Cricetulus griseus: one gene and its partners. The protein of the gene in region 4 purifies or fractionates together with the protein of the main gene of each other region. This does not show direct contact. Links are inferred from orthologs where the notes say so. Each region holds a gene or a part of one and is shown on either strand. Other genes may lie near its edges.

Evidence for each region.
Region 1: the proteins of Glmn (region 4) and Fkbp5 purify together in Homo sapiens (affinity purification with mass spectrometry; 3 studies listed by BioGRID and IntAct, with this or other methods). This does not show direct contact. The link is inferred for Cricetulus griseus from reciprocal best matches to the Homo sapiens genes GLMN and FKBP5.
Region 2: the proteins of Glmn (region 4) and Cul7 purify together in Homo sapiens (affinity purification with mass spectrometry; 4 studies listed by BioGRID and IntAct, counting the BioPlex papers as one, with this or other methods). This does not show direct contact. The link is inferred for Cricetulus griseus from reciprocal best matches to the Homo sapiens genes GLMN and CUL7.
Region 3: the proteins of Glmn (region 4) and Cul9 purify together in Homo sapiens (affinity purification with mass spectrometry; 3 studies listed by BioGRID and IntAct, counting the BioPlex papers as one, with this or other methods). This does not show direct contact. The link is inferred for Cricetulus griseus from reciprocal best matches to the Homo sapiens genes GLMN and CUL9.
Region 5: the proteins of Glmn (region 4) and Cul4a purify together in Homo sapiens (affinity purification with mass spectrometry; 5 studies listed by BioGRID and IntAct, counting the BioPlex papers as one, with this or other methods). This does not show direct contact. The link is inferred for Cricetulus griseus from reciprocal best matches to the Homo sapiens genes GLMN and CUL4A.
Region 6: the proteins of Glmn (region 4) and Cul1 purify together in Homo sapiens (affinity purification with western blotting; 4 studies listed by BioGRID and IntAct, counting the BioPlex papers as one, with this or other methods). This does not show direct contact. The link is inferred for Cricetulus griseus from reciprocal best matches to the Homo sapiens genes GLMN and CUL1.
Region 7: the proteins of Glmn (region 4) and Cul2 purify together in Homo sapiens (co-immunoprecipitation; 4 studies listed by BioGRID and IntAct, counting the BioPlex papers as one, with this or other methods). This does not show direct contact. The link is inferred for Cricetulus griseus from reciprocal best matches to the Homo sapiens genes GLMN and CUL2.

Annotation. Positions count from the first base shown.
Region 1 is NW_023276806.1:233,539,780-233,543,279, forward strand, and holds part of Fkbp5 (peptidyl-prolyl cis-trans isomerase FKBP5), read right to left. Parts: intron 1,400-3,500; coding exon 1,243-1,399; intron 1-1,242. UniProt on the Homo sapiens protein: Immunophilin protein with PPIase and co-chaperone activities. Component of unligated steroid receptors heterocomplexes through interaction with heat-shock protein 90 (HSP90).
Region 2 is NW_023276806.1:256,079,058-256,081,816, reverse strand, and holds part of Cul7 (cullin-7), read right to left. Parts: intron 1,555-2,759; coding exon 1,394-1,554; intron 1,232-1,393; coding exon 1,015-1,231; intron 938-1,014; coding exon 613-937; intron 1-612. UniProt on the Homo sapiens protein: Core component of the 3M and Cul7-RING(FBXW8) complexes, which mediate the ubiquitination and subsequent proteasomal degradation of target proteins. Core component of the 3M complex, a complex required to regulate microtubule dynamics and genome integrity.
Region 3 is NW_023276806.1:255,963,366-255,966,865, forward strand, and holds part of Cul9 (cullin-9), read right to left. Parts: intron 3,463-3,500; coding exon 3,327-3,462; intron 3,212-3,326; coding exon 3,012-3,211; intron 2,761-3,011; coding exon 2,361-2,760; intron 1,934-2,360; coding exon 1,741-1,933; intron 1-1,740. UniProt on the Homo sapiens protein: Core component of a Cul9-RING ubiquitin-protein ligase complex composed of CUL9 and RBX1. The CUL9-RBX1 complex mediates ubiquitination and subsequent degradation of BIRC5 and is required to maintain microtubule dynamics and genome integrity.
Region 4 is NC_048600.1:2,356,788-2,361,046, reverse strand, and holds the start of Glmn (glomulin), read left to right. Parts: upstream 1-1,459; 5' UTR 1,460-1,491; coding exon 1,492-1,553; intron 1,554-2,026; coding exon 2,027-2,084; intron 2,085-3,147; coding exon 3,148-3,273; intron 3,274-4,259. Other genes in the region: putative RNA polymerase II subunit B1 CTD phosphatase RPAP2, read right to left, coding at 1-26, 843-969.
Region 5 is NW_023276807.1:67,637,486-67,640,985, forward strand, and holds part of Cul4a (cullin-4A), read right to left. Parts: intron 3,122-3,500; coding exon 3,016-3,121; intron 2,644-3,015; coding exon 2,471-2,643; intron 1,508-2,470; coding exon 1,355-1,507; intron 1-1,354. UniProt on the Homo sapiens protein: Core component of multiple cullin-RING-based E3 ubiquitin-protein ligase complexes which mediate the ubiquitination of target proteins. As a scaffold protein may contribute to catalysis through positioning of the substrate and the ubiquitin-conjugating enzyme.
Region 6 is NW_023276806.1:222,448,551-222,452,050, forward strand, and holds part of Cul1 (cullin-1), read right to left. Parts: intron 1,672-3,500; coding exon 1,504-1,671; intron 1-1,503. UniProt on the Homo sapiens protein: Core component of multiple cullin-RING-based SCF (SKP1-CUL1-F-box protein) E3 ubiquitin-protein ligase complexes, which mediate the ubiquitination of proteins involved in cell cycle progression, signal transduction and transcription.
Region 7 is NC_048596.1:210,663,900-210,667,399, forward strand, and holds part of Cul2 (cullin-2), read right to left. Parts: intron 3,100-3,500; coding exon 2,994-3,099; intron 2,439-2,993; coding exon 2,356-2,438; intron 1,608-2,355; coding exon 1,511-1,607; intron 1,425-1,510; coding exon 1,314-1,424; intron 1-1,313.

The DNA of each region.
Region 1 (3,500 bases), on a different chromosome or scaffold from region 4:
AGCTGGGTTAAGACTTACAGATCTGGGTCATGTGTCCCTGAATGGTTACACTTTACAGAACTTATCCTTAAGGGCTCAACTGTGAAAGCATATCTGAGACAGCCGCCACCTGAGTGTGGAGCTCCTGTAATTTTGGAATGTTAGATTAGAAGTGATTAGTAAACTTTAATCCCAGCACATGGGAGCCAGAGGCAGGCAGAGTTTGAGGTCAGCCTGGTCTACACAGTTGAGTTTTGGGGCAACCAGAGCTACAAAGTGAGAAGATATCTCAAAAAAAAAAAAAAAAAAAAAGATTGGAGACTGTAGGCTATGAAGTACCTGCTCTGCAAGTCTGCAAAGAGAAAAAAAGTTTTCAGTCAAAAAGTAGGGTAGAGTGAACTACAGCCCATTGCAAACTGAAACCCTGAAGCAGGACTGCAGCACTGAACAGGGTTGAGAGAAAGGCAGCAGACAAAGGGGCCTCGTAATGGCTTTAGGATCAGGACAGAGCATTCTAGAAGAACTTTCAAGGAAGTGTGGGCATGGCTAAAACTACTGAGGAACAGGATTATAGACAAGCACTGGCGTTTTGTCAGGGACCCCTGAGGGGTGAGGGCAGGCCGAAGAGTCTCAGAACTCAGATCTGCCAGTTGCAATCTGTGAGCCCGTGAGGCCACTCTGGCCAAGGAGATGCTCTTGCATGCAGGCATCCCTGGATTCTCTCAGGGCCCATTTCTCAAGATAGAAGAGTTGAATTTATGGTACAATTTTAGACCAAAAATAATACAAAACATGTTTTCACAAGAGACTGTCAGTGCCGGATAGTTCTAAGCTTGGAAGTGCTAATGGCTATCCTTATGACGGGAAAGATTTAGGCAAAAATGAGTCATCTCCGCTGTCTTTAGATCCAGGAAGAACAAGCTGGTTTTTTCTTCCTTCGGGGACTCCATATAAGAATGTGGCATGCATTCAAGGGGTAGTAAATCATGCCCTACTTCAGCTCTCAGCACTCTCCTGCTGAACTCAGAGGACAGAAAAGAGGACCAGCCAATCTTTGCTGATGTGGCACCATGGCATAGGAACAAATCAAAAACAAGGCTTATTTGCCCTATTCTTAAACATACTTGAGCTGAGCCAACCGCTCACAAACTTCCCGACTACCACCTGACTCAATGCAATGACCTCACTGTGATAGCAAAAGCACCGAGTGAGAGAGTAGGTCTTCAGACAGCTACACTGCATACGGAAACGGGCGCTTCTTACCGTGGTCCAAGATATAAAACACACTGCTCTTCCCTCTGCATTTTCTCCAGGGCTTTGTCAATTCCAATGGGAATGTCGTGGTCTTCTCCTTCACCAACAATGAACACCACATCTCTGCAATCAAACATCCTTCCACCACAGCAGCCTTCCAGGTGGACTGAGGGTGAGGAGACAGAACAGTCACAAGCCACCCCTCAGCACTGCCTGTCAAGTGAGCGGCCAACAGTGCAGCTCTGTCCACAAGACACACACAGTGTCTTCTAGAAGCTTTGCCCACCCAGTGTGAAAGTTTAAGAACAAGAATATTTTTCTGTTTTAGGTTAAATGAATACTAGTTTTCTTACCTGTGACACAAGGTCAGGATATACTGGCTTATTTAAACACACAATAAGGAGAATGCCACGCATCTAGTCCTGACAATATACAACGATGGCTTAACCATTTGTAACAGTATCTTGGGTTCAGATGCTTGGGTGAAATAAATAAACCAATAATAATGCCAAGCCTGGAATGTCATTTCTCCAATGATACATTCATGTTAGATTTTCTTTTCTTTCTTTCTTTCTTTCTTTCTTTTTTTTTTTTTTTTTGAGGCAGTCTTTTTATATATCTCAGGCTGGCCTGGAACTCTTATTTTCCTGCCTCTGCATTCCAAGTGCTTTCTTATTATATTATTACAGGCCGGCACCACATCTTGTTCCAATTACTTTGTATGGCGGTGAGGACTGACCCCAGGGACTTGTGCAACAACCAACCACAGAGCTACACCCCAGCCCAACTACCTTTAATGCCCATGTTCCATATGCCTTTCTCGAAGGTCTTTTACTCACTAAGAAAAATGGCTTGTGAGCCAGTGCAACAGTCACCACGATTCCTCTTTGATAATCTGGAAAGTTCTTAGGCTGCTTAACTGATGTGGGGTAAGTAACTACGTAACTTGCTTTACAGAGTCTTGAGAATCCACCCTCTCTTACACATTAACTATGTGTCCTATGACAGCTGTCAAATTCCAAACACAGACCCAATTCCAACTCCCTCCACCACCCTTATCTGATCTCAGCAGTCTCCTAAAAGGCCTGAAGGTCTATGATTCTGTTTCAGCTAGAAGCCACCTTTAATGCTAATTCCTGTGGTTAACCATTTGATCCAGCACCTTTAGCCTAGGCCTGATAAGTCAGAGGGACTCTGACTATCAACAGCAGGGCCTCAGTCAGCAGAGTCAGGACAACCTCCAGGACGAACACCACGCTGGTTGCTCCCTCGGCTGTCAACCCAAATCCTGAGTCAGTTCCTTCAAAGCAAGGGCTGCAGCCTGGATCTCAGGGTGTGCATAGAGCCTCTTGTTTTATTTCCCACACTTGTTAATATCTATGATGACCACTTCTGGAATGTTCTAAATAAAATAATAGCTAACTTGCAGATACCTCCCCCACCCCACCCCCAGTGCACAGGTAGCGTGAAAAAACCAGGTTGAGTGTAGTGTGAGAGGCATCCAGCTGGACAGCTGTGAGCACTGCCAGCAGCCGCTTCCATTTTTTTAAAAAAAGACTTAACTTTATTTTAAAAATTTAAAATACATGTACACCAGAGGTTTGGGAGCACAACTGAGGCCCATGGTTTTGTTTTTTTTTTGTTTTGTTTGTTTTTCTAGAGTAAAGGTGATGTTTCTAAAGGAACTGGGTTTTTAGGAAGTTGGGTATCTATTCTAAGCCTAGCTACTCAAAAGGCTGAGGCCGGAGAAGCATACACTGTGGCCTATCTCACAAGAAACAGTGAAGAGAGGGATAGGGGTAGCTCACAGTGGCAGAGTACTTGCCCAGTAGGTACAAAGCCTGAGGTTCAAGCCCCAGAACCTCCAAAAATAAACAGAATTTAGACCAACTTCTCACTAGAGATCTGCTGAGCACAGGAGTTCTTGCCCATGCACAAGGTAAGCACATCTTTAGACTGACAGATTTGGCGGGGGAGGGAATTCTGAAGTTTATTGTTAGGTGATCACCTTCCTCCTCAAGTGCGGTGTCTTTAGCTCGGAGGAAGCTATCAGTACATTTGTTGTGGCTTTTGGTCGATCAAGTCTGAATGTGTTTTCAAAACAGGAAGTCCAGAGACTTCTGCAAAGGGTCCCCACTTACTATCGGTTCCCTAGACTGATTCGCAATCATGTAATGTGTTTGAAATGACTACACAGTTTCAGAAATTCTCTTTAAGTGTGCAGGAAACAAGCAAAAAAACCAGAAAGTCAAACTGTATCAAAGGCA
Region 2 (2,759 bases), on a different chromosome or scaffold from region 4:
CAGCCATACCCTTTGAGTTGTGTTCAATTGTTTTAGAGACAAAAATCCCTGAGTTGAGAGGCTTGTCCTCCTGCCTGTCTGGGCCTCCTGAGGGGGCTCTGCTCTTCGCCTGCTGTGATTTGCCCAGTCTAGAGTCTCATCTCCAGCCAACACTTTGAGACTAAATGTGACCATTGAGGGAGGAGCACACACCCACTCTTTGGTTCTGTTTTTGAGACAAGGTCTCTGTGTAGCTCTGGCTGGCCTAGAACTCACTATGCAGACTACCTTCCATGCTAGTCACATGCTAGACTCAAACTCTTAGAGATCCATTTGATTCTTCCTCCAGAGTTCTGGGATAAAGGTGTACTCCACTATGCCTGGACACACCCACTCATAAAGCCCTTTCTTGTGGCCTGTCTTAGAAGACTTATACCTCTATCTCCCCCTATTCCCTGTCCCTCTAAGGAAGTCTTACCTCCTGAATCCTATACCCCCTGCACAAGGGCATGCTGGGATGCTATGGTTGTAGCCTTGCAGGCTTCTGATTTCAGCACCTACTCCAACTCTCTGTCCCTTTCTCAGTAGCCAACCCTTGTCCCCAAAGCCCAAGCCCTCTTCCCAGTTGCTTACTCTTGTTGTAGAAGTTGGAGTAGTGGTTTAAAGTCCCCCTCAGATATGAGGGCAGGCGTGCCGTAGAACTGAGCATGTGGCAGACCGAGGTGACAGGCCAGTAGCGTGGAGACAGCACAAGCACACACACTTCTGGCATTGTCCCTTCATAATATAGCTCCTCCTCCCCCTCCTCCTCCTGCTCCTCCTCCTGCTCCTCCTCCCTCTCCTCCTCTTTCTCCTCCTCTTTCTCCTCCTCCTCTTCTGCCATAGCCACAGCTGCTATCTCTCTAGCAGCCTCTTCCTTCTTGCTCTTGTGCTCCTTGACACTGTCCTCATGGGCCACCTGAAAGGGAACAAATTTCACAAATGCTGAAGGCCTCCTCTCACCTCTTCCTTGCCCATCCCTTCCCTGGAACCCACCTGTATCTTCTTTTCTGTGTCTTCCAGCTTCAGGAGCTCCTGATCGAGCTGCTGGAGCTGAAAAACATGGAACTGACGCTGCAGCTCCTCTGAGATGCTCAGACTCTGTAGCATCTGTTGGGGAAGACGGTTGGGGAAGCAGAGGCCAATCTGCTCCATCACAGCCCCCTCCAGCCAGCTCGAGCCTACGCTCAGGAGACGGTCAGCCATGTAATGCCTGTAGCACACACAGTTGGGCCAGATCTCAGCGTGGGTGCCAGTTTGACCCAAGTTCTCACTCTGTCCTGTCTGTGTCTCAGACTCAGACCCTGTGAGCTGGCCCTGCCCCACAACAGAGAGCTTGCCTTCCCCATTTCCTACTCAACAGATCCAAACTCACTGGTAGTAATGCTCAAAGGTAGTGGCTATCTCCAGGCGAGAGAAAATAACGACAGACTCCAGGCATCGCTGAAGCTGTGCCAGCATCTCCATTCCCCGGGCTCCACCCATCCTACTGCCTTGGATCCGCTGGTCAATGTGCCGAGCAAACTGCTCAGTCACCTGAGTAGAGAGCATAGGAAAACCACAAGTGAATGAGCCAGGGCTGAGGAAGCAGGTATGATGGCCACCACCTGCATCCATCCCTCAGCCTCCACGCCCCCTTCAGGAGGTGCTGGGGATGGAATCAGAACTAATAGTCATACACAGAACCACAGCCCTGGCCTAGCAGACACTTTCATTCACAGGCAAGCAAATGAGCAACACTAACAACTCTGAAAAGTCAAGTTCCCCCACACTGTGTCTAAAAATCAAATCATTTAAAAATGAAATCACTAGGCATGACAGCACACATCTATTATCCTAGCGCTGGAGAGGTGGAGGCAGAAGGATTAGGAATTAAGGAGGGGCAGGGAGTGTAACTCTCCATCAGTAGAGCGAGCACATGCCTAGCAAGCACAGGCCCTGGGTTCAATCCCCAGCACCACACAGTATACATGCCTGAACTCCAGCACTCAGGACACAAGGCAGGAGGATCAGAAGTTCCAAGTCATTCTGGGACTACATAGTGAGTTTAAGGCAAGCTTGGAATATATGAACCTTTGAAAAAGTTGAGTGTGGTAGCCCAGCACTCGGGAGGCATAGGCAGGCCTGAGTTTAAGAGTAGGAGGCCAGGGGCTGGAGAGATCGCTCAGCGGTTAAGAGCACTGGCTGTTCTTCCAGAGGACCTGGTTCAATTCCCAGCACCCACATGGCAGCTCACAACTGTCCAGTTCCAGGAGATCTAACACCTTCACACCAATGCACATAAAATAAATTTAAACTAGTTTTTTTTAAAAAAAAAAAAGACTAGGAGGCCAAGTTGAGACTCTCTCCTCTCCCTCCCTCTCTCTCCTCTCTCTCCTCTGTCTGTCTATCTTAACATGGTGTATGTAGGGCTGGAGAGATGGCTCAGAGGTTAAGAGCACTCACTGCTCTTCCAGAGGTCCTGAGTTCAATTCCCAGCAACCATATGGTGGCTCACAACCATCCGTTATGAGATCTGGTGCCTTCTTCTGGTGTGCAGATATACATGGAAGCAGAATGTTGTATACATAATAAATAAAATCTTAAAAAAAATTTAATTCCCAGCAACCACATGGTGGTTCACACCCACTTTGAATGAGATCTGGTGCTCTCTGGCATGCAGGCAGAAGACTGTATAGATAACGAATAAATAAAATCTTTAAAAAAAATGGTGTACGTAATGAATTTTTCCTAATTTCCAA
Region 3 (3,500 bases), on a different chromosome or scaffold from region 4:
TGTCCTCTGACCTCCACATACGTGCCACAGTACACATAACACACACACACACACACACACACACACACACACACACACACACACACACACACACACACACACCAATCTGATCCATCAGAAAGCAGTACTATGCTAGTCAAGGGAAGGGGAATGGAGACTGTAGAGCCGTGCATTTGAATTTGGCTGCAGCCATATCGCAGTTCTACACAGCACTGAAAATAATGAACAGCTCTGTGATAACTGACACCAGAAAATCCTCCAACAGACACTGGCTGGGGACACAAAAATGCCACAGACACTCGAGTGTGGCCACACCACAGACACCAAAACACAAATACATTACTTGCTATTTACACCCAAATGATACACACAATTTTAATGCTTTTATGCATCAGATTTTTAAAATACCTAATTTATACTTTTAAAATATTATAAAAATCCTTACAAACAAATTGCATGTTTAATATTTATTGTGTGTGTGTGTGTGTGTGTGTGTGTGTGTGTGTGTGTGTGTGTGTGTGTGTGTGCACATGAGAGGTGCAGGTGACTATAGCGGCCAGAGGAAGGCAACAGATCCCCTGAAACTGGAGTTATAGATGTTTGTGAGCTGTCTAATGTGGGTGTTGAGACTCGAACCCAGGTCCTCGGCAAAACAGTATGCAGTCCCGACTACTGAGCCATCTCTCTAGTCCCTAAACGTGCGATTCCATACTAACCCTGCAGATGGTCTGAAGGGTCCATCCGACAGTGATGACGGAAAGGGACTTTTTTCTGTTATGAGCTGTGATCCAGGATTGTATCCCGCTTCAAATACTACAGAGCCACCTCCTCCCACGCCTCTCTCTTTCTCCTCCTTTCTTTTCTTACTAGCCCACCCTAATTTTTTTCCTCTCTTTCCAGGCTGACCTCGGATTTTTTTCTGACTCCTGAGTTCTGTGATTATAGGTGTGTGCCACCACATCCCAGCAGGGCTGTCATTCAATATTCCTTTATATGAACTGTTTTAAAAATGATAATGCACTTGTGTAATAATGAAATCAGATGAGACTTTAAAAATAAAAAGAGAGCCAGGCATTGGTGGCGCATGCCTTTAATCCCAGCACTCGGGAGGCAGAGACAGGCGAATCTCTGTGAGTTCGAGGCCAGCCTGGTCTCCAGAGCGAGTGCCAGGATAGGCTCCAAAGCTACACAGAGAAACCCTGTCTCGAAAAACCAAATAAATAAATAAATAAATAAATAAATAAATAAAGTAGGGGCGGAAGTAAAAGAAGAGAGGAAAGAAAACTGTAGACAAGGTCTTACTATGCAGCCCAGGCTGGCCTCAGGCTCATGATCCCCCTGCCTCAGCTTCCCAAGTTCCAGGGTTAGACATGTGCCTCACACCTGGCTTGAAAAAAAAAATTAAAGGAAAAGCACTGGAGCCAGAAGGGCCTAGGTTTGGATCCTGGCTCTGCCATCTGCAGAACTGTGAGCAAGTGAGTGAAGTTCTCAGTTTTCTCATGTAAACTGTAACACTAATACTAGCATAGGACTAACGGCATCATTGCTACTGTGGGGTAGACTGGTTTAATGAGAACACAGTAAATTCTCAGGGTATGCAAAGAGCTCTAATGCCCTCGGGCCCCACCTCTCCCTCATCCCAGCCCTTCTACCTCTTGGTTCTATAACTCCTTCCCTCCTGCCATCATCCGGAACGGCTGCAGCTTCAACCCAAACCTCTTCCCTCAGCAACATGCTAACCTCAACGATCTGTCAGGACGGACCAGAGGGTGGTCCCGCTCAGTGACCTCCTCCACAGCTTGGGAGAGGGCAGAGAGCCCTGAGAGCTGCAGGTCTGTGTCCAGGCTGGAGATCTGCACAGTGGCCAGGACTGCTGCCACATGCTGATCCAGGGAGCTGCGTGGACCAGGGCCCCGCAAGGCTCTGGCCATTTCTGTAATTAGTGAGAGAAAAGTAGTAGCTAAAACAATTGTGACTCCTCCAAGCTGGAGGTTTAAAGTCAAGCCCAGGTCTGTTATCAATGGCATTCACTACTGTAGCTTAGCATTCCTAGTTCTTCCAACAGTACAGGAGAGATCTAGTCACACACGAGAGAGATGGAGATGCATTAGAAACAAACTCTTCTCTTTTGAGGATACTGAAGAATCGGGTGACTATCGGATAGTGATAATAATGTCCATGTGGAGGGAGACATGTGGGTGCTTTCCAGGCTTTTCCAGCATAAAGGGCCTTTCCTCCACGGTTTTCCCTTCCCTCCCCTCCCCCCACTTCCTCCATGGTTTTCCCTCCACTCTACCCTACTGGGCCAGGGCATGTCTTACTCTAATGTTTTTGCCTTCCCCTCCTAGTACCCAACTCACCAGTAGCTGCTTCCTGTGTTTCAGGGGACAGAGCCATCCCCTCTTTCACCAGAAGCTGACTGAACAGCTGTGAATCACTCTGTGCTTTGGGGCACTCCATCTTTGGACCAGCAGGCCCTGCCTCTGAGGCCTCAATCTTGGCCTTGCAGGACTCAGCTTCTTCCTCTGAGATGCTGGCTGCCGACTTTGACTCCTCCTCTAGCTCTGGGGTACAGGAGTGACTCCGTGAAGAAGGCAAGCTGCTCATGTCCTCAGGCATTAGCCCATACTTGGTGTAGATTTGGGAGTTGAGCAGGTCACAGAGGTTGCTGCCCTCAAAGCGGTTACTGAGAACCTGCAGCACCCCCTCTGCCATCTCTCTGGGCACAGAGATCTCACCTAGGGCTTTTTCACTGAGGGCCTGTCAATACAAAGGGACCAACAGACACAGAGTTCCTAGGGACGGTCATGAGAAGAGTCACCCTGCCAACCCCTTATACCTTCCACATACTAGACCCGCAAAGCATGCCTCCTCCATTAGCAGGAAGGATCTTCACAGGCTTCAACTGTTAGCTCTCCAGCCACATACACACCCACAATTACAACTTGCCCTGAAGCGCCCGTCTCTAACCCACCACATCCCTCGGCCCAGATCGCTCAGGTCTCTGGTACCTTATCCAGTTTCTCATGCAGACTCTGGAAAATCGGCTGCTGCTCACACAAGTCTAACTTCTTGATGAAGAAAAGTAGTTCCCACCACTCTGCCTGGGTCAGGCATCCTGACTCCTCAGTCTTCTGGAGCTCAGGCTGGAGATATGGCAGTGAGTACAGGCCATATGCAGGCTTCCAGTCCCAGGAGGGAAGTGCTGAGGCTGCAGGAGTAGGTCATTCTGAACCTCTTGGGCAGGCCCCACTCAGAAATGTCTGAGTGCTAGCCAGAGCCCCTTGGTTCTGAAACATGCTTCCCATGTCCTCTCTTAAGCTCACCTGTGCCCAATACAGTAGTCCCGTCTCTCTTCTCCACAGCTGCTGAAGTGGAATCCCCAGTAGCTTCCTCAGGCCCCAGGATCTCCAGCATGTGCCAATGTACCCAGTAGGTGCGGCCAGTTGACTGCCAGAAGACCTGGGAGAAGGGAATAATACCAACGGCTCAGTCCTCTG
Region 4 (4,259 bases):
TTGGAGGGCACTTGTCTGTTTAGTTCCTACAATTGAAGAGATAACAGCAAATGCAAACACACATTTGATGTAGCAGTCTTACCCAAATAACACACTGTGGGCAGCTTTTCCTTTTCTCTCACAAATTTCATTTCTAGGTAGACAAGAAGGAAACTCCATTGCTTCTGTAAATTAACTACATCTCAATTTTTCTTGACTAAAATCTCTTTGGGGACTGGCTTTTTTCATGTATCATATCAGCTTTAATCAAGTACTTCTTTAAAACAAACAAACAAACAAACAAACAAAACAAGCCAGGCGGTGGTGGCACATGCCCTTAATCAGGAGACAGAAGGCAGGCGGATCTCTGTGAGCTCAAGACCAGACTGGTCTACAGAGGTAGTTCCAGGACAGAGCTAGGGCTGCTACACAGAGAAACCCTGTCTCAAAAAACAAAAATAAATAATAAATAAAAAATAAAAAACAAAACAAAACTTAAAGCTTTAGGATAAACATTTCTCGGTCTCCCAAATGCTAGATAGCTTGCCTAAAAAGAGGCGCTGATACCTCAGAGACCAGGCCCCAAAGCAGTCCAAAAGGAGGTGTAGTCCAGGATTCGAGGCGGCTGAACACCACCTGTTCTTGGCCCCTTGTGCTGGGGTCCCCAGCACGGCCCACGCAGGGGAAGACCCCGGAACACCCGCGTGAGGCCGCGGGATTCTTTCCCGAGGGCACCGGGGCAGCCACCCGCCACTCGGAGCCCTCCCTCCCCCGGGGGCAGACTGGGCAAGCAGCCCGCGCGCGCAGTGTAGACTCAAGCCAGGGTCTCGGGGTCCAAACCTGGAAGAGGCTACGGTTCGTACCTGCAGCCTTTCGGTAGGTGCTGGAGGCCGGGGCACTCGGGCCCAGCGAGAAAGGAACCGCAGAATCAGCCATGGAAAACGCAGTCAGAAGGTGAGACGCTGGCGGCCGCCAGGCTCCGCCCCCCATGCGTCTTCCGGACCGTGCTGGGGGCGGGCCCATGGAGGGAGGGGCGAGCGCTGGAGAGGGTGTACCCAGTCCAGGGGCGGGGCGAGCACCGGAGGGGACGGGCCCAGGGAGGGCGGGGCGAGCGCCGAAGGGTGAAGACCCAGCCCAGGGGCGGGGCGAGCGCCGGAGGAGGCGGGGTCCCAGAGGCGGGGCGAACGCCGGAGGGGGCGGGCCCGACCTAGGGGCGGGGCCAGGAGTGAGGCCTGCGCTGCGGGAGGTGGAGAAGGCGAGCGGTCTGGCGGGTAGGTGGACGAGCTGGCTAGGGCTGGTCCAGGCTGGCTCATCAGGACCCTGGCAGCGCGAGGCTCGCCTGCTAGGCCCCTCGAGGTGCTGGAGCCTGGATGCTCTGCCCAGTAGGAACAGGGAAACAGGCAGGGAAACAGGGAGAAATGGCTCCCCCTCGGCTCAGCCCACAGGCGCGGTAGGGTGTGATTTTGCTGTCCGCGCCTGGGGGGCAGCGATTCCACCAGCCCCCGGGGCCGCATGCTGTGCTGGTCACCACCGAAGGCCTTCTCTTCGGGTGGTTCGGTGATCTCACTGACTAGGTTTGGTTCCTGTGGAGAGGGCAGGTCTTGTGGGGCATGGGGTGAAGGGCGTCAGAGTCTTCAACTTATTTGGGTGACTTAATTGTGTTGGATTTCAGTATTTATCAATGGGACATTTTAAAGATTCCCTAATGATTAGAATTCTTATGCCAGGTCTACCGTTTTTGTTTTTGATTTTGTTTTTTTTTTTTCATGAAAGGAATACTTTCCTCTTTTGAAAAAAAGTTCTTCTAGGAAGTTCTCTCTAGGGTTCTTTTTCTTTTTTAAATCTCTTTTCATTCTTTAGGCAATACACTAGAGGCTTTAAAAATGTTCTAGTAGACTAGCACACTAGCGTTCAGTAATACCATTTAAGCTATAAAAATTTACATTGTATTTATGTGTTTTCTATTAATTCAGAATGAAACAGTTTATGAAACATAATTTACATAGTATCACAACTAACTGTGTTTTGTATTCATTTCATCATCAAGACTAGGACACTTATTAGGAATGGCTGTTGAGGAACTTCAGTGCATAATAAAAAGATGTGTAAGTAATTCTCTAAAACCACCTGTAAAATATGGCAAGGGCATAGATTATCTTTAATTACTTTGTGGTCACTCACATTATTTACCTTATCTATAATTCCAGCTTTTTTTGTTTTTTACTTGTAAATAAACAGCATAAGAGTAGGAAGGTAGATTGGATTTGTGTGTGTGTGTGTGTGTGTGTGTGTGTGTGTGTGTGTGTGTGTGGGCCTTTAATCCCAGTACTTAGGAGGCAAAGGCAGGGAGGTCTCTGTGAGTTTGAGGTTGGCCTGATCTACATAGTGATTTCCAGGACAGCAAGGGCTATAACAGAAAGATGGGGTGGGGATGGGGGGTAACTAGATAGATGGCTCTCAGTGGTGAAGAGCAGTTGTTGCTTTTGCAGAGGACCTTGGTTCATTTCCCAACACTCAGGCCCACTTGTAGCCTTCATGGGCACTAGGCACCTGTGGGCAAGCACTCATACATACAACATAAAAAGAAATCCTAATTTTTTTTTACACTTGAAAAAACATTTTATTTTTTACTGTGTGTCTGTGTGTGTGTGTGTGTGTGTGTGTGTGTGTGAGCGTGTGATCGCGCACGCTCTCAAGTGCCCATAACCACCTGGAGCTGTATAGATGGTTGTGAGACAACTGACCTGGGTGCTGAGAATTGAACTCAGGTCCTCTGCAAGAGCAGTATATGCTCTTATCCATCAAGCCATTTCTCTAGCCTCAATAGCCTATACTTTTAGACCTGTAATTGTTTTCATAGGTTTCTTTTATTCAGTAGGTTCTAGATCATTCATTGAGCCATATGATTGATGCTTATAACCAGCATTCAGAGGCTGGGGCAAGAGGATCTGAAGTTCCCAGGTCAGCTTGAGCTTCATCTTGAGAGCCTGTCTCAAAAGCCAAAATAAATAAAGACAATCACTAAAATATTTATTAGGATAATTCTAATTTTCATTATGTATTCATGTGCCCTTTCTCTAGAATTTAAGATTTCATTTTTTTCCTTAGACAAGATCAGTAAGTCATTCATACTGAATCTATATTTGCATCTGTCCTGTTTTTTAATAGCAAATCCTAGAGGAGTGTGATTTTAAAGAAGAGGATTTTGGCCTCTTCCAGCTAGCAGGCCAAAGATGCATCGATGATGGGCATGTAGACCAGCTCCTGGAGATTATTCAAGATGAAAAGAACAAGGTAAGTACAAACTTTGCGTCTACTTTTCAGTCTTCATTTGGGAAGGGAATAATATTCCGGTGTTATTACTCATTTATCCTCTTAGTTACTGCTGTAATGAGACTCCATGACCAAGGCAACTAGGAGAGGCTGAGAACGGACAGCCTGGTGATTACCTGGTCATCGAGGCTGGGTGCCTCAGAGTAGTCCCACAGTGGCTGTCCCCTGCTGGGTGCCTCATCGGTCCCATCTGGCCCCAGAAGCCTTTGGAAAGGGCTATAGAGCTGCTGGTCCTAGGTCACAATGAAAGCTTAGGACCTCTGGTTCTGGAAGCATCAGGAGCAGCTGTTAACCTCATGCCAGAGGAGGGGAAGGCCAAGGAGCAAAAGGCGAGACCTTCCTTCTATGTCCCTTCTGTCTGTGTCATTACCACACCAATGTAAGCACTTAGGATACCCCTGTACATGAGGCTCCCTGTTGATACTAAAATCAACTATAGCTCAGTTTTATAGTCCCCAATACAATCAATTTTGTGAGGTTTTGTTTTTGAGACAGAGTCTTTAGCCCATGCTGTCCTGGTGTTCTTAAACTCATTGTGTTTTTTGTTGTTTGTGTGTGTGTGTGTGTGTGTGTGTGTGTGTGTGTGTGTGTGTGTGTGTGTGTGTGTTATGTATGTACATGTTTCTGGGAGTGCAGGTGCATGTCAAGCTCAGAAGTCAACACTGAGTGCTTCCTCCATCACTTCCTGTCTTTTGAAACAAGGTCTCTCACTGAACCTGGAGCTCATAGGTTCATCTAGGTTGTGTAGCCAACAACTCCAGGGATCTGTCTGTCTCTGCTTCCCCAGTGCTTGGATTAGCAGAGCATACCAGTGTGCCTAGCTTTTTGTGTGGGTTCTGGGAGTCTGAATTCAGCAGCCCATCTTAGCTGAGAATACACCTGTCAAGGTGAGTGAGTGGCACCATTGCATCGGCAAGGCAGAGGAGGGAGGAGAGCATAGCACACTG
Region 5 (3,500 bases), on a different chromosome or scaffold from region 4:
GCTCCACATCTCCACGGTGGCTCTGCTATGTTACTGCAAAAGTGTACCTGTCATTGTCACCACATGGACATCACCACAGAGACTTTTTCACTGGCTTTAACTGCCCTGTGGATACAAAGCAGGGGACCAGTCACAGGCTCCCAGCCTGCCTTTGTTGCTTTGCTTTGTGAGATAGGGTCTATCTATGTAGCACTGGCTCTCCAGGAACTTGCTATGTAGACCAGGCTAGACTCAAACCACAGAGATCTGCCTGCTTCTACCCGAGTGCTGGGAGTAAATATGTGTATCACCATGCCAGTCAGAGTTCAGTCTCTGTGGATGACTAAGACCAGAGCTGAGTCCACAACCTTATAGTGTCTCTGCCTAACAGGTGCCTGCCTCACTTTTGCTGCAGTAGGAAACAAATCAGTCAGCAGCACTTGGGAGCCAGGGCCTCCTGCCAAGGGAGCATCGTTTCCCAAACAGCAAACCCTTCTATTCAGTGCAGGCCATGCATTTTACAAGATAGGGCTCAACATACCATTAGCTATAAAAAGCATGAGGGTTTTCCCCAGCTGCACAACTACGCTCTACACTTAATTACCAGGTCACTTCATCTGCAAAGGGACAAACAGATGCCCTGGCTTGGGGTAGGAAACAACAACAGTATTGATGGGTTGTGTACCCATCATCATGGAGGGGAGGGCCAGGTACTCGACACACCTGTCCTTGAGGCACTGACTAATCAGTCTGTCTCAGTGTGACTCCCTGATAAAGAAGACCAACTCAGATGTCATGTAACCAGGGGACTTCCAGATGCTGAAGGCCAGAGGTCCTGAGAGTTCAATTCCTTCTGAGCTAACTAACAACGCACTCACTGTAGGCTGTATTTTATGGCATATTTTTGTAATGCTCCCCTAGCTCATCTGCATCTTACATGTTGCAGAATCTCAGAACTCAGTTCTAGAACAAGAAAGAGGGACAAGCCTGAGGCTGACTTACATCTCCAAAGTAGAAAATGCTATGTAGCTTGTGAATGTTGAATCCAGCAGTTACCAACAGCACTACCACAAGGGCCCGGGGAGTTACCAACAGGGAATGGCTTACAGGGCCACAGTTAGGGAAGAACCTCTGTCCTGATACCTCGTGGCCCTCCACTCCCTCCTGAAAGCACAAGCATGCAACATGCTTGGAGGAGCTGAGTCTGGTTTCTAGGGTGCTAATTAGAGGATCTACACAGAGCCCTGGCTATCACGTGTGCTGGCTTCTGCTCACACAGGCCCCATGGAAACAGTTACATGCCAGGACACTGAGACTCTAGCATGTTCTGTGACTGAGTACAAACCTAACACCCAATTGTGCTGACAGAAGTTACCTTTACTGGAAATTTCAGCTGATTGTACAATTCAGAAACTAGAAGGTTGTGACCAAGAGTCTTTCTCATTTTCATTATTCGGACTATGGCAGCGTCGATCTGGTACTGTCTGTCCTGGAATACTCTCTCTGTGGTACTAACTTGTTCTTCAACCTGGACAAAAGAAGAAAGAACTAGAGGTGTGTAAAGATGTTTCAGTGTTGCTTTGTTACATTGTAATTTGTTCTATGAAAGCTCAACTTTTCACAAGTGTATAACTCTAAAACTAATACTTGGACAAGTAATTTTAAGATTTGTAGTTTTCTTATACAAATGCTTATATTAAGGCTTCCTAGCAGCAAAGGACAGCTGTGAGCCCCTGTGGATACTGGGAACTCAGGTTCTCTGGAAAAGCAACCATTGTTCTTAACCACTGACACACCTCTTTTGCCACCTTATACTGCATTACTGAGTAATTTGAGAATTTGAATATATTTTCTGTCCAGCAAATTGAAAGCCTCACGATGAATGACATAATCATTGTATATGGGAGAGGAGAAATCTAATAATTAAATTTGTTCCCCCTGCCCCCCCCCCCACACTCAGTAAGAACTCTCCTCATATACCTACTTAGACTAAGCATTTCTAGGAATGAGGAGGCCATTAGAAGCCACTGTGTAGCTACTGGTCAGAAGGGCTGGCAGCTTTGGTCTTAAGCTTGTGTACATTTGGGAAACTAAGAAAGAGCCTGCTCCCTGCTGGAATTGCTGTAGTCTGTACATTCTGTGGGAAAACTCCTTCTTCCTCCAAGGCCTAGCCTGGAGCAGCTGACTGTGCCAGGCAAAGCAGAAGGCAGGCACTCGATCTAGAAATCCCATGAGCTTCTTTAGCACTGGCATTCGATACAGGAAGGTATGATTTCATATATGGGCACAGCTGTTACACATATTTCACCACTTTTGCTTCTACTGATAACATAAAATTAATGAAAGATACACGAAAGGGTACTATTCCAAACCCTGCATTTGCACTAGATTCAGACATGTGCTCTGACCTCTATTAGTCAAGACATTACTAAGAAAGGCTAAGGATTCCATGGTGAGACCACAAAAGTGAAGAGAGAAAGCTGGCACTTACGGTTTCCTTCATCTGTATCTGATTGATCTTTATTCTGAACAACTTGTGTTTGAAGTCCCCATTGAAAATGAACTTATCTCCATCTTCTACCTCCTTGCCTTTGGGACTTTTAATCAGAACCCGTGCTTTACCACAGGCAAGAGACTGCAGTGTTCTTCTCAACTCACTGTCCTCTGAGGGAGGCAAAGGAGACACATGTCACAAAACACATGAGACTTAATGACAACGAGAGAGAGCAATGAGAGAGAGCTGGTGTGACAGCAAAGTGTAGGGTCTATGCCCCCCCACCCCATGTGCTGCTGCAGGACTAGGTCCTGTGCATGCGGGGAAGTACTCCACTACTGCCCCTCCAGCCCCTCCTCTTTTTAATTAACACAGTAGTGTCAAGAGCCAGGTGTGGTGGTGCACACCTTTAATCCCAGCAGTTGGGAGGCACAAGTAGGTGGATCTCTGTCAGTTCCAGGAAAGCCAATGTGACATAATGAGACTCTACTTCCAAAATAAACAAAACTAAAACCAAAAAAAGCCACAAGAAATCTTCCTACCTATGCCGGTGGCCATTTTTATTTCTTCAAAGCTGAATCCGTCCCCCTCATTGAACATGAGCAGCACCAGTGTCTGGAAGAGGGACACCTGGAACTCCTTCTTCCCCTTTAAGAAAATGAAGACCATCACAGAGGCTGCTTGGACTCTTTGTGAGTTATAGCAGACTGCTTTATATGCACTGTGTTTGGGGGGATTCAGAACTTGCTAACACCACCAAGTAAGAAGAAATTACTGATTATAAGAGAATGAAATGATTACTGGGCATTGCACTTAAAAAATTCTTGTCTTGGAGCTGGATATGACAACATACACCTGTGAGCCAGTGAGCCTCCTGAGCTGGAGGCCAATTCAGGCTGCTGTGAACCCACTGCCTTTTGCGTTTTAACATTACTTTCCAGACAGCAGGCCTATCTGTTTGCTGCTATTACTGTTTTTAAGTCAATGTCTTGCTATACAATCCGAGAGTAGCCTTGAACTTTCTGTC
Region 6 (3,500 bases), on a different chromosome or scaffold from region 4:
ACTTTTCCATTCCTAGTCTCCTCATAAATATACTAAGATTAATTATTGTTAAAATGGTCTCTAAAAGAAGAAAGTTAGAATTCATACATGATTTTTAAAACTGTTTGTTGGGAGAGGTATTAAAAAGTTAGAAAAGAATTGAAATTTACAACACTTTTAGACATAAACTATCAAGAAATTAAACATAAATGCTATTAGTCTCATCCCCCAAGTTAACTAGAGATAAAATTAAGTTTGTAAAAATGTGTTTTTGAAAATATTACATATAAATTTAACCTATGAAAAGTATTTTCCAACTAGTGTCTCCAATAAAATAAATGCCACAAAAGCAGTATTTATGTTTTCTGTTTGTCTATTTTCCTACCCCATGTAGCATTGGCTATGTATGTAGACCAGGCTGGCCTCCCAGAGATCCACCTGCCTCTGCATAAGCTGGGATTAAAATTGTATACTAACAGGTCCAGTATTATTAGGAATTCTTGACTGTTCTAAAATAGTGATTTTCCTTCACTCTGCTTACCTGGGGAAGTATTTATCTGTTTGTCTATTTATTTATTTAGTGTGTGTATGTAGAAACCAGAGGACAACTTCTGCTGTTGCTCCTCAGGAGCCCTCCACCTTGCTTTTTGAGACCAAGTCTCTTATTGGCTTATACTTGTCAGGAATAATAAAGTGGCCGGCCAATGAGCTCCTCAGCACTGTGATTACAACGTCAATACCATGCTCTTTGTACACAGGGTCTGGGGGATTAGCTCAGTTCCTGTGTTTACAAGACAAATATTTTATCAAATGAGTTAATCACCCCAACTCTGTGGATCTTTTGATCTTCACTATTTTTCAGACAGGGTCTCATTTAGCACAAGCAGGCTGGGAACATGTTATATAGCAGATTTATGATTCTTTTGCCTCTATTTCCCAAGTGATGGGATTACAGGTATGCACAGTACAGCAGACTGAACCCAGGACTTCATACATGCTAGGCAAGCACTCTGCTAACTGAGCTCCCTGCCCCTTCCCCCAACTGTGGCCCACATCTAAAGCCTCTAAGTTTAGAAGGTGGTCGAGGATCTGCACCTCTGTCTTGTTCCAAGGTGACACTGATGACGCAAATTTAGGGTCACACTCTGATAAACCAGAGGGTCTAACACAAAAATAGTTAATTTAGTCCTCTCTCAATACAGAACTAACAACAATAGTTAATTTAGTCCTCTCTCAATACAGAACTCTCAGACAAAAAACAAAAACAAAAAACAAAACAACTATGAGGGCCCAGTTAGGAGCTTAATCCTCAGATGAGGCACCTGATTTGCTAGCAACTGCCAGCATCTAGGATTCTAAAACTCAAGCAGTTCCAGGCAAACTATAACTGGCCAATTAATTGAAGACACTTTAAAAGTAAACTCAGAACTGTTTAAACTCTTTATTTTACAGCTCCAATTTCCCACCTCTCTACTTTCTTGCCACAGCATATTTAAATATTATTTATCTTAAAAAACATCTTACTGAATAGATTTCATATATTCCTTTTCGGCCTTCATCACATTCTCGGCGAACCCAATGTCTATTGAGGTAGGCACAGATTCCATTCAGCACTTTGCTGGAGAATCGGTAGTCTTCCCACTGCTGAGTGTAGAACTTCAGTACACTCTCATCCATTAAATCTTCTCCATCCTAAATACAAGCACACTAAGGCTTTAATATGACTTGGTTTGTCACAGAATCAAGACAAAACTTATTGAAAAAGGTACTGCATAAAATAATATGGTTTGTAAATAGGTACTTTTAATTGTTGTGTATGAAAACATGCTAATATAAATTCTCACAAGAACACTAAAAAGTTCTTTCATTATCAAATTAAGTTGGCTGAATATACACACACAGTCAGAGTGCATGCTAAGCTTCCAGAATGGAAGTAGAATCTTTCTTTCATGCTTTTTCTTTAGTAGTAGACCTAGGGTCCCTCTAGCTCTCGGCAACTGCTCTATTTTTAATTCAAGCCAGGCTCTTGATAAGCTGCCCAGGTTGCTCTTGAACGAAAGTGTGCAGCCCAAGTACAACTAGAACCTGTGATCCTCCTGAATTGCTGGGACTGTGGGTGTGTCCACCACAACCAGTGGTAATTTCTTTACCCTGTCTCCCTTGGTTCTCACGTTTTCCAAGGCTGGCTCTGAACTTTTTTTTTTTTGGTTCCTCTGTCTTCATCCTGTGAAATCTAGGATCACAGGCAAGTGCTAGGATTACAGACGTGAACCTACCTGCTTTGTTTAGTTTTTAAGCAACTTCTTATTAAGGAATCTACTCCAAAGCATCTCTGTTTGACACCTTTCCAGTTTAAAACAAAACAAAATAACAGTAACAATAACAAATCAACCTATTAACAAATATAATGGAAGCTAACATACTCATTTAAAAAAATATGGACTATTTCACAAATTTGTAAACTTACAAAAATATTCACCTTAATTGTGGTTATGTGTTATATTATTTTTAACAAAAAACATAACGATAGCAATCCAATATTTCTTCTCTAACAAAACCTCAGGAAGAAAATAGGAAGTTATCAAAATGATTTTTACTTTAAATTTATCAATTTTTATTTGGACAAAATTAATTTGAAAAGTTAGGTATTAATGACATCTCCAAAGCCCTACCCTTCGAAAACACTACACTACCAGTTACAGGTGCTGTGCTGAGTGTGCCAAGGAGATATAGTAAAGGCCAACTGATGTCTTCATCGGTTTCCACGGTGTCTTCACGTGGAAAGCCACAGCCCAGTAGAATTGAAGTTCTACAAGTAACAACATTCAAGTGACCCAACCATCTATGTGAATACCTGGCCATATCAAAGATACAACCAAAGGTTTTGTTTATTTAAATGAAATGATTTTTAGAATGCAAAGCTGACCTATTCTAGATGAAAATGCAAATATGTTGCTGATGAAATAGCTACTTAAAACAGAACACATTTTGCTTACAAGGCTTTATTTGCAAAATGATGTGAATACAAAGGACAGGGTTGTAGCAGGATGCTCCCTGTCTAAGAGCATCCAAGTGGAACATTCGTTATAACTTGTCCGCTAACTCTAGTCTGGTAGAATATGCTCCCACACCAGATGGTGGCGCACGCCTTTAGTCCCAGCACTTGGGAAGCAGAGGCAGAGGCATCTCTGTGAGTTCGAGGGCAGCCTGGTCTACAAAGTGAGTTCCAAGAGAGGCTTCAAAGCTACACAGAAAAACCCTGTCTTGAAAAGCCAAACTGAGAGAGGAGAGAGAATGTTTCCACTCAGCTTCTAAAATACTTAAGAAAAAAAAATCGCAGCATGTAGAATATCCCATATATCATCTATATAAATTAAAAAACTAAACTGTACACAGAAGAGATTCAGAACCTTTCAGGTAGAGAGTAGAAACACTTTCATTAATTGAAGACATCATGTACAACACTAGATGAGGGCTCTACTTGCCCACCCAATGGCGAGTGTAAAGCATCCCAATTCCTT
Region 7 (3,500 bases), on a different chromosome or scaffold from region 4:
TTAGAAGCTAAGGAAATAGTTTCTGGACTTAAGCGACCCCAAGGAATTATGTGAATGGGGCTTTTAAAGATTGGTGGTTGTCTGGAAATAAGGATAGGGAATCACTGGAAATATAATGAAATATCTCATTAGAACACTAAACGAGATTCTATTCTATTGGATACCTACTAGTATAGGTCTCTAGATTTTAAAAGGTAATCACTATGTTGTTTTGCTAGTCCCCTTACATTATTTCATCTTCCCCGTTAAACCATCTAGCAAAAATCATTCAGTACCAAAATGCTTGAAACATAACACTGCAAACCAAAAGCTGGTTAAACCAGACACAGAGATGCACATCTGTAATCCCAGGACTTAGGGGGTGAAGGCAGGAGGACTGCTAGGACATGAAGGTTGAGGAAGACTGTTTCAAAATATCAAGAAACCAAAACTTAAAAAAATCTAGGTAAAATTCTCATGTTTCTTTATAATGACTCTATCACTCTTTCTTATTACCATGAAACTATTAATAGGGTTTAAAATTCCTTCTGGAGGTTTGATACAATGTTCAGAATTCAGCATACCAAGATTTACCATGACTCAGATTATCTTATTTGCCCTCCACTTTTTCCTTCTACTTTGTTATTTTTATCTTATTTATTTATACTAGAAACAGTCATGTTTCCAGGGCTGGCCTGAAATTCCTTATATAGCTGAGGACCTTGAACTCCCGATCTTCCTGCCTCTGTCTGGTTATGACAGGTTATGCAGTGCTGGGGGCTGAACTGGGGCCTCACAATGACTGTGAGTCAAGGCATTTGCAGACTAGCCTAAGGACCTAAGATAGATTCTCAGATCCCACATGATGGAGGGATCCAATCCACCCCCAAGTTGTTCTCTGATCACCACACCTGAACAGTGGCACAATATCCATCTTATATTAACTTTTTAAAGACTACTTTTAAAATATGTGTACATATGAATCTGTGTGTATATATGTATCTATGAGTGGGTATGTGCACCCAGAGTACAGGTACCCATGGAATCCAGAAAAGGACATCGTCAGATCCTCTGGAACAAGTGTTACAAGTGGTTTTTCTGGGAATTAAAAGCAGGTCCTCTACTTGAGGTATATATGCTCTTAATCACTGAGCAATCTATCTAGCCCATATAATATTAATTCTAATAATGTAACTAAAATAGCATTTTGTTTTTTAGGAGAAATGATACAACAGATCTTTCCCACTAAAGCAATACTAAATATTTATGCTGTTAAATAAAGAGGTGTGCAACAGGTAAATGCACATGAGGTGTTTCCTTTTTTTTTTTTTTACCTTTTCCATATACTGTGAGCAATTTGATTCTTGTAATAAATTTGAAGCTTCTTGCTTGTAATATTCTCCTGTTTCAGTCAGAAAGGGAGACACAAAGATTCCCTGATAAAACTGAAAATCAATTAAAATTGTATTAGTAAAAACCAGAACATTTCAGAAATTAAAGGTCTCATCATGTTTTGAAGTAGACTTTTTACCTTTAAGGGAAATTTTTTCTTATACTGTTCAACATGAACAAAGGAGTTAATAACCCCATGGATTACTTTCTGGTTTGGGTCTTCACCACCACGATCACTGAAACAAAGTATAACACAACATGCTTGAGAACAGTCATCTGTGGACTTATACCCCAGTATGCCAATATACAACTGCTAACTTAATGCCCTAATAAAAATTATGAGGTCAGAACACATGTATAAAGCTTGAAACAGTTTTTCTTCATCTCATCATCATCATCATCATAGCTAATAGAAATCATCTCAATAAATGTGATTCGATGGAAAATGATGTGCTGTGACTATCACAGATATAGTTCTTCAGCTATAACCACCAGACACCTGGGCTTCAGTCAGCATCACATTGTACTGAATGGGGAGGAGAGAAAAGCCTCTCCAAGCCCCAGCAATCAGACAGGAAGAACTAAGTAACATTCAAACTGGGGGTGGGGGAAATAAAAGCATTGGTTTACAGATGGCCTTGGGGGGTACAGGGGACATATACCACAAAGTTTATACTACAACAACAAAAAAACTATTAAAGTAACTGAATCCATTTGCAGAATACAGAATGAATATACAGAAATCAGTAGTAGTGCTACTGTTGGCTAGTAGCAAGTTATCTGAATCAGAAATTAAGAAGGTAATCCCATTTTGTATTTGCTTTATAAAATAACCAGAAAAACCTTAAGAATGAAGAAATTAGAGTGAACTCAAAATTAATCAGAATTGACAGAAACACACTACATGCTAATAAAGAACAACATATCAGATCAGTCAATAAACTAAACATTAACTCACCAAGGGGATTAAAACCCCATACTCACTTTTTGATTTCTCTGAGCAGCATTCGGATGAGGATGTCCTGAAGGGGTTCAATCATGAGCTTCCTCCACATGTCCAATGCTAGCTGCCAGGAAAAACAGAAATCATCAAGGCTGAATTAGGTAGATTTTTTTCCTTTAACATTCATTCTAGGATCTTGTAAAATAGAAATACCCATCAACAGAAATAGTATCGGTATTTTAAAATACAAGTAAAAACTGAAGGAAAAGAAATTTCTCATTTAAAGTAGTCATCATCCCATCAGAATTATAAGTCTTGTGACATAGCAGGCCGACTCAATATAAACAGGAACAAGCAGAAAATCACTCTTCCTCCTCTTCTCTTCTCTGGGAGGCACCATGTGAGCTGGAGTCCTCGATCAGATAAGTTCTTATAAATTATATAGACTAATAGTTATAGTTGATATTTAAGACTGAGCTAGCAGTAAGAAATCCTAGTCATTGGCCAGCAACACTGTACCTAATATAAGATTCTGTGTGTTATTTTGGGTGCCTATGTGGCAGCGGGGCTTGGGCAGCTTGGTGGAAAGACTTATCATTACACACATATACAAACAATAATATTTCAAATTTAAATTTAAAAACAAATTATGTTTGAAGTCACTTAAAGAATTTCTTACCTCTCCTATTTCCATAAGTGGTTCATTCATATCTACTCCACCGTAGCCATATTGTAAATCGGCTTCTGTCAATTTATTTTTTTTAATATATTGGGTATTGAGATACCTGAAAATTTAACACAAGTACAATGGATGTAAACTCAAAATCAGTTAGGAAAATAAATAACTCATGAATCTAGAATAGTAATTTTAGGGTTAAGTTTAAAGACTAATTCAGTGATAACTCCAAAAGAAATTATATCCAAGTTAGAAATAAATGAAAACAATATATTATTAGCCCTGGACTTTCTGCAAGGGTTACTACACCAGAAAGAGTCCACTTAGCACAGGCAGCAAGAATTAAAACAACCAAAACAATTTCTCCTGTATGACAACCAACCCTGGGTTTAAGCTTTTGCCTCAGTTCTCACCGTACTGCTACTATTTCTCTTTTCTTTTCATTAATTTATTTACTTATTAGTTTTTTGAAACAGTGTTTCTCTCTTGTGTAGCCATGGCTGTCCTGGA